Bombyx mori: one gene and its partner. Each later gene encodes a partner of the first gene's protein in a complex. Links are inferred from orthologs where the notes say so. Each region holds a gene or a part of one and is shown on either strand. Other genes may lie near its edges. The genes, in order: EP300-interacting inhibitor of differentiation 3 and E3 SUMO-protein ligase NSE2.

The links.
Region 2: EP300-interacting inhibitor of differentiation 3 (region 1) and E3 SUMO-protein ligase NSE2 share a complex: the UniProt entries of both Homo sapiens proteins name them as parts of the SMC5-SMC6 complex. The link is inferred for Bombyx mori from reciprocal best matches to the Homo sapiens genes EID3 and NSMCE2.

The regions. Positions count from the first base shown.
Region 1 is NC_085130.1:15,844,579-15,848,868, forward strand, and holds the start of EP300-interacting inhibitor of differentiation 3, read right to left. Parts: upstream 3,068-4,290; 5' UTR 2,841-3,067; coding exon 2,765-2,840; intron 2,196-2,764; coding exon 2,085-2,195; intron 1,245-2,084; coding exon 1,126-1,244; intron 1-1,125. UniProt on the Homo sapiens protein: Tissue-specific component of the SMC5-SMC6 complex, a complex involved in repair of DNA double-strand breaks by homologous recombination.
Region 2 is NC_085128.1:13,903,195-13,907,609, forward strand, and holds E3 SUMO-protein ligase NSE2, read right to left. Parts: upstream 2,844-4,415; 5' UTR 2,111-2,843; coding exon 1,919-2,110; intron 1,591-1,918; coding exon 1,431-1,590; intron 795-1,430; coding exon 739-794; intron 458-738; coding exon 337-457; intron 178-336; coding exon 71-177; 3' UTR 27-70; downstream 1-26. UniProt on the Homo sapiens protein: E3 SUMO-protein ligase component of the SMC5-SMC6 complex, a complex involved in DNA double-strand break repair by homologous recombination. Is not be required for the stability of the complex.

The DNA of each region.
Region 1 (4,290 bases):
TTAAAAAAAAGACATGCCCGCTGAGTTTCTTGCCAATTCTTCTCAGGATGGAGGCTAGTTTTTGTGAATTGGCGGTAGTTCTTTTGACGTTCAACAAGTATGTACTTTCATTTATGTTGAATTAAAAATTTTTGATTTGATTTGATTTACAGCGGGTTCACTGTATTGTTGTTCGGAAGTTGTATAATATATGCAAGCTTATCTTGAAAGTGTCGTAAGCAAGAATCAGGCATCTGTCAAATATCTTGGCTACCGATACAGACGGTTCTAAACTTGAATTGTATTATTACAATATGAAGACAAGGAGAAAGGGGGGATAGAGGTAGTATTTTTTATGGATTTAATTATGTAGTTTCATCATTTACTTCAATAGATTAAATATCAAATACATCCTAGTCATCATTGGCTATTAGAAACAGCATTAGACAGCTAACCAAAGATTTGTCTGGAGTGTTATAATATATTGAAGCCGCTTGGCTTGCAAATGTTAAGGCTTAGATAATGCTGATAAATCTTTGTTTAGGGAGCCATATATTACAAACCAAGAGACTGAAGGTTAGCTAATATTCTTTTAATAATTTTGTAACAAGGCAACGCAAAGCAGGTGTATTTGTTTTGATTTCCGTTTAAAAGAATATACATTAATTAAAGTTGAGTAAAATGCTTAGGCTGTTATTCCCTTTTTGGCTTCAGAAACAGTTCCCTTCTACTTAATTTAACACTATTAATGCTATAGAAATGTGACGGTGAAGAAATAACATCGTGTAATAAAAATCAAACCCGCAAAATTATAATTTGCGTAATTACTGGTGGTAGGACCTCTTAAAAGTCCGCGTGGGTAGGTACCGCCACCCTGCCCATTTCTGCCGTGAAGCAGTAATCCGTTTCGGTTTGAAGGTTGCCTGAGCCTTTGTAACTATACTTGAGACCTTAGAACTTATATCTCAAGGTGGGTGGCGTATTTACGTTATAGATGTCTACGAGCTCCAGTAACCACTTTACGCCAGGTGGGCTGTGAGCTCGTACACCCATCTAAGCAATAAATAAATAAAAAATGTAGAATGTACAATATCTTGAATTACTAGAAAATACTGTCATATAAATTTAACTTAATATTTAACTCACAATGTGCTGTGCTAATTGGTTCTTGTCATATAAATGCATGTTCACATCAACTGTCTCGAGGCACATCTTCGCTAGGTTCGAAGATGCGTGGAGGACCCGAGCGTCCAGCAATCCCTCACCTGCAGAATAATAGACTCAGAACTATTCTGGAAACTGAGCAGCTTGCAGAATTTTGTTGATCTTTCTTACTTTCACTACTCGAGTTGTACTAGGTAAGTTAATTTTGATTGTAATCTCACAGGACACAAGTCCCGCTTGATTTATGTCAGACATAATTAGTCTCAGTATAGTGTATTAATATACAGTTTATAACTTATCAAATTTAACTGATTTTATCTCCTTTAAAACTTAGTGAGTTATCAATGAAATGTGCTAAAAAGATCTAATGTCATGGCTTCATTAACATGAGTAGATATACTGACATATAGGAGTTTGCTTATAGGATGCAGAGACATCTTAAGAGCACTGCACTTTGTCCCAGTCTATAGATCCCGGCAGACACACATTTTTTTTTCCTACCTAAGCTGAGAGCCTTGAGAGGCTATATCAGCGTAGCTTTAACTAGTAGGTGAGCTCACGGGGCTCAAACCTGATGACGTTGCTAACACGAACCCTAGCAAGTATCGTGCTTCGCAGAATCTACCACCGAATGAGAAACGCAACCCACTGAGAAGATCCGGCAAGAAACTCCGTGGGCTGTGTCTGAGGGTTAATTTACTCGTCGAGCCCTTCGTCACAAGCGACGAGTTCGACGAGAGTGATGACCGGTGCTTGAGGTACCTAGAAGCACCATTAGTGGATCGGGACGATCCGAAATGACGTGTTTGGGGCGACGTCGACTGCTTTCCATGTCTGCAGAATCGGGAATCTGTCCACAGGATCGGGAATGTGAAGACACAAAAATAGGCATGTGTACCACTCGATACATCTTAGAAAATTAAATATTGAACATATCATACCAGGATGTTTGCTGCGATGGTCAACACCTCCTTCCTGGACCAGTTGCTTTGCCTCTTTCACAACTTTGTGTGTAACATCTAGACATTCTTGATTGCTCGCATTTTGATCTTCTGTTTGAACATAAATAAAAGATTTTAAGTTAAGGTATATTATTATATATCTGAAAAAAAACTGCAATGCTAATTATGAAATATTGTAATCTTTAAAAGAGTTTCAGATCAGCCATGTTGGTATGACATCAGTCTGGTTCCCTGTGGATTAGAATTAGTAGCAGAAAAAAGATGATTTGAAGTTAAATCTTGCGTGGTATGCTGAAGAAGGCTATAAAACATTCCAAAGGACAGAAATATTAAATTAAAAATATTTATTAGGTAATTAATAAATTATCACAAAATTCTGAGGGCAGGCGTATTCCCTTAGCTTTCGATTTTCAAATATATAAATGTACAGGTTGGATTGTCCAGTCTGTACATTACTGTAAGATAATTATCTCCCTGCTTCATTACTTATTTTGAGGAAGCGATTATGAATATTTAGTGTGTGTTATTTACAGTTTTATTTAATACCCAGGTCCCAAAAAGTTTTTAAAGCCCACAATTCTATAGAAGTTCGGCACTAAATGTAACACTTACTTGTACACTTGCCGAGGTTATTTGTAAAATAAATATTCGTATCTTACCTAGAGCAGTTACAGTTTCGTACATACTAATGTACTTGCTTTTCCGCTGAGATGAGTTTAATTCCGCGGTACTCATTATTACGAACTTTATTAAAGAAAATGTACCTACTTTATTTATAATTATTTAGGGGTAGATATGAATTGCAGTTAATAAGCTTAGGTTACTGATTCAATAACGTCGTATGCACAGAATGAGAATAATATTACTTTGAGCGAAGGTAGTATGTAATGTACAATTAATACTTTTTAAATTCGTGATTGTTTAAAACAATAGAATAACTTCAACATTCAACTTTCAAATTCATTTGTTGGGATTTTATGACCTGGTAACTAGGACCTTTAGGTCATGTCATATTTTATTTTATATTCTTAATTTTATAAAAATGCTAATATAGAGTGAAATTAAATGAAATAAATGAAAATGATTAATTTGAGACATTAATGAACTGGAATGAAATGAAATGAGATGAGATGGCATGGGATGGTGTAATTAATGAATAATGGGTAAAATGGTGGTCATTTACCGAGGATTTTTCAGTGGACTTTTTGGAGGATTCTGAGAAGCTACGTCCAATGGGTTTGTTTCATTTTCCCACATTTGTGCACTTTCACAGATATTAAACAGTTAATAAACCACCGCTATTACACATTTAAACCCGAAGAAACACTAAATAGAGAAAATAAAACAACACACAACTTCACTCCTCGCGTTCCCGCCAAAAAGTTCTTTCAAATTCAAATACAGTCCATGGCATAATTAATATATTAATTTAAGAGTCCATGCCTCCATGGTTCGTTTTCGCAGTTGACAAGATTAATCTACTTTTTGGCGGGAGAACAATTGGTTTCTTGGGTGATTATTTGTTGCCAAGATTGAGTTTGTAAAAATCTTCAGCTATAACATTTTGTGGAGGGTAGATGTAAAGTACACCATCCCAGTATTAAAAAGTGTCCGCTGAACGGAAGCTAATTGAGATAGCGCCGTAGTAGCAAGTGGATCGATTAAAAACAGCGTCATAAATTATGAATAATTATTATAGTAGGATTATTATTAATATTATTAAGGAAAGAAACACTTCCTACGTAAATAGTGATAAAAATATTGAAGTGAAATTTTAAATACTGCACAATTTTTATCTAACTACACAAGTCACGAAAAATATAAAATTTTTAGCCCAGCTCACTTTACTCTGCTTAAAATTGCTATATACATATAATTTCCATTTTCTACCTAAAGCGCTATATTGGTTTCGGTTCGGTAGTTTGCTGTTTACACTTGGGTACACTTTTTCAACTTTTTTTTAATCGATGTTCATTCCAAACTCCTTACACAGAAATCCTTTAGAAACAGTTTCAATTATTCGATTCCTACAATTAGGTATATACATATCGCCCTTAGATCATTGAAATGTTTAATCCAAAATTATCGTTTTTTTGTAAACTCCAATTTAATGTAATGGAAGAAGAAAGAAGATTTCAATATTTGAAGGTATGCGCTTGACTTAAAAGCGACGGAAGGGTTACTT
Region 2 (4,415 bases), on another chromosome or scaffold:
ATAAACAACCAAATAAAATAAACAAATACCCTTTTTTGTCAATTCACATTTATTATATTATTAAATGAACTTAATGTATCATGGTCGAGTGTTGCGACAATGATAATCTAAATCTCAATTCTTCATCTTCCAATAGATGGTTTTCTTGAATGCTTTCTGGATTGGCACATCCCGCAACTGCAAAGTAAAATTGTAAAATTAAATAGTGGTGGTTGTAAGCAAAAGTAAGTTTATTTTCAATCACCTAATCAACGACTGAACCTGAACTGTAGAATACAATATTTCGAATCACCGATCACTAGACTGATGAGATAATTATAACAAATGAAGAATTACCTGGACATCTGATTCTATGCTTCCTTCTTATGAGATTCAAAATAGTCTCTCTTTCATACACATGGCCACACATTGTATTCTTCACTGGATCTGATATATGTTTTTTGGTAATTGGATCTAGCTGAAAATCGAAAATTTTAAAATTTTAAAATCTAGTGGAAACTTTTACATATTAAAAATAAAACTGAAGTTTCAGATAGACTAAAAGAAGCTTTTATAGAGGTTCGAGAATCTCATTTTCTGAGATATTTTTCACATCTGAATGAACTTTGAGTAATTACTGTACAAGCTTTATGGTTGTTATATAGGTGAGTGTATATACAGGTTATTTATTTCTTTACAAATCAATATCATCAAATTATACCTATTAAAATAATACAATTATATTGGAATAATACTTACAAACTGCTCATTTGTTTGGACAATAGCTATATCAGATTCATTCAGGTTTTCTGTAACTAAAGTGTTTTATATTAATTTTACACATTGGCAAGGTGCAATTTTTTCCTGAATATATTCAGAAAGTTAGCAGAGCTGATTATCAAAAGAAAGAAATAAAAAATAATATTAACATTAAAGTCAGTCAATGCAGCAAGTCCCCGATTTCGCAGCATTCTTCAGCATTCCTGAGTGCTTATGTCATATCCCTCTCAAATGATGTGTGCATAGAGTATTCAGCAGTTGCAGCTTGGCAGTATCTTGGCTGTGCCCCTGGTATTGCTTACGATCATGAGTGATGGTAACCATGGCCCATATGCCTACAATGGCGAGATAAAAAAACAATTATTTGTTTGTGTTAAGGAAATAGTTGTTTTAAGCCTATCCTGAATTACAATATATTTATAAATAATCTTATAGTAGTAACAATTCCCTAGTTACAAATAAAAAATGGAAATTAATTACCTACTCATTCTATTATAAAGATGAACTTCCATTTAAGAAAAACAGAATTCAATTCATGTCAATACTGATTGGTAGTTTATTTTCATATTTTGGTATTGTTTGAAAGTTGAATGGAGTTTCACTACTCATAATACTGAATAGTTGGTTACCCAGTAATATCATATTAAACTATATTTAGATCCAATACTCACGTCCTGATGAAGATACACTTTGTAATCCACTTTCATATCTAGTCTTTAATTCTTGCATGTATCTATGGCTGTTAGGATTAATTCTGTTCTGTGAAAGAGTTTTCAGGCCATCCTCGAATCTTTCTTGGAGTGTATTTATGTTTGATATGTTAGTATCTGCCTAGAATTTAAACGAAGAATTTTTAGATTCTTAATTTCTTAGTATTTTATAAAAAATGTAAAAGATTGCCCTATGTTTTTCCGCTAATGAAGTAATAATGATTCGCTAAAAACATTATCGTTATTTATATGTACAAACGAATTAATTGCGCTATGCTGTTCTATGTTATACTATGTTCTGTTTCAGAAAAAATGTTGCAAACGTGTTGAATATTTTGAAATATTATGTATATATTACACACAACTAGTTTTTTTTTTTATTATTAGCTTTGTTGTTACATAGAATTTACTTAAATTGAAAACGATAAAATCGTACTTTTTCAACAAACCTTTGCTGCCTCTAAAACCTGCTCAGCAACTTCTTGTTCTATTTCCAATAAGCAGTAGTTTTCCATGTACATCTTAAGTTTTTCATAATTGTCTTCCTTGTCCTCTTGCAAATATTTAGCGACATTTTCCGCAGTCGAGATTAAGCTTTGAATACACTGCTTTCTCAGATCTCGAATGTCTATATCAGCCATAATTTCAAATTTTCAAATGTCATAACAATAAAATTTTATGAAAGAATACGCTTTTTTCTTTATTAGGGATTGCCTAGGCAAAGGAAGCATAGCACATACACTATTTGTATTCTAATTTCAAATTCATGATTTTTTTTGTTAGCCATATTATCGTTCGGAAATTGAAAGAGGCTTGTTTGTGTGAGTGGGCTCGGGCCCAATGATGGTATTTAGGGCCCTACCCACTAAGCGACTCCCCAACACTTTCTTCCAAGCGTCTTATCCCCTTCGAGGTCAGAACCAGGGCCAGGTCATGAGGTTACCGCGTTAACACTGCAACCAGACGCACCTTACCCCAAGGACTCCCGTCCAACGGAGTCTTCGAGGCGAAATAAAGGTTCTGAAACACTAATCACCTGAGTACGGTTGCCAATAAGGCCGCCGAGGCGGTGCCGCTAGTGTATCGAGATACCCCAGTAGTTCGGAGCAGAGATTATATACACTGAACATGTTCGGAGTCTGCCGGGTCCGGAGGCAATATCCCACCAACAGGTAGTACAGATTCTTTGCCTACCTCAGATTGTAATTAATTTAGGCTAAGCTTTCCTTTGTGGTCCGTCGATTTCGAAGTTCACAATTTTTTTGTATATAGTGCTCCTAAATAAAAAACTTTTTGCAAAATTTTAAGTTGCGAAGACGGTAGAAGTACGGTTTACGAGTTAACAATTTTTAAAGTTTCCATATAAATTAGAAAAATCGTCAAGTCATAGTTGACGTTTTACGTTCCGTTCACGGTAAACGTGTATTTTATAAAATTTGATGTCATGTTTTTACCGAAATATATTATTATCTTATTTTTATTTTATTATTTTAATATATTCACATAGTAAATTTGTTTATAATTAGTGTGCACAGCAATTGTTGCTGTAAGAAGCAATTATATTGACGTTTTTACACAAAAAGTAACAAAATTTTGTTTACACTGTGGAACGGAACGTGAAATGACGCATTTTTTTATAGCGTCTTTTTATCTGTCTGTAATAAAATATATTTTTAAATACATATTATAATTAAATAATTTTTTTATTATTTTTATTAAATATTTTTTTTTACAATTTTTTATTTATTACTATTAAATAAAAAATAGTAAAATTGCTCGTGTTTTGGTAATAAAATTGCATAAATATTCGAAAAATATCGAAAACCGAATCAGAGCACCCGACTTTCCACTTGGTCTTGTCTGCCCTACCCCTAGAGTGTTTTTAAAAATACCGGAGGCGCGGAGGGAGAGCAGTCCTCGCCTGCTGTGACGGAGCACGGAAACAGTGCGGAGCAGAGCACGAGTGACCGTGCTTCGGCACGCAAGGGCGGAAGGATTGCTCTTCCCGCAGCGCCCGAGATAAGACGGATTCAAACTTAAGCTCCCTTCGAGTTTGACTAAATAATGCAATTTTTATCAAAAAAATTAACCATGGGGATCTGCGGCTTGGTGACGGCGCAGTAGTAAGCTCTACACCCCTCCTTCCTCGAATCAAAAATAATGGACCATAATTGAAATTTTAACTCTATGTTGACTAAATAGTGCTATTTTTAACCTCAAAACATTAACCGTGGATATCTTCATAACCATGGAGTTCCGCGGAGTGGGGATGGTGCAGGGGTTAGGCCTTACTTCCCTCCCTCCCGACTCAAAAATTAATGGACCCTCATCTAAATTTTAACCCTATTTTGACTAAATAGTGCTATTCTAACCTCAAAACATTAACCGTGAATATCTTCATAACCATGGGGTTCCGCGGGGTGGGAATGGTGCAGGGGTAAACCCTTACCCCCCTCCCACCCCGACCCAAAAATCGACGGACCATAAAAGAAAGTTTAACCAAATTGTATATTTGCTTGGATAATAAGATACATAAATATACGCATCACTTTAAAACATTTTACTGATTTCTCAAATATGATCGTTGTAAATAAGTCTCCATAAAGGTATTTATTTCCTACTCAACTATTATATGTTAAGTGCCGTATAAAAGGTAAGATTGGAAGTTTTTTTTAAAACGCGATTGTATTGATACACGGTGAACGCAGTACATTGAGGGCTTATAAAAAAAAAAAACATCGTCTCTTTTAAAGTTTATTGTTAAAATAATTACATACTTACATTCAATCTATAAGGCATTTGCAGATTCATACAGACTGCAATAAATATTATTTAGCTATTCAAATATTTAGATAAATATACTTTTAATATGTAAATAATATCTTAACTTAAAAAAACATCCATACGAATCAATTGAGTGTAATTAAATTGAGCTTTTGGAATGGG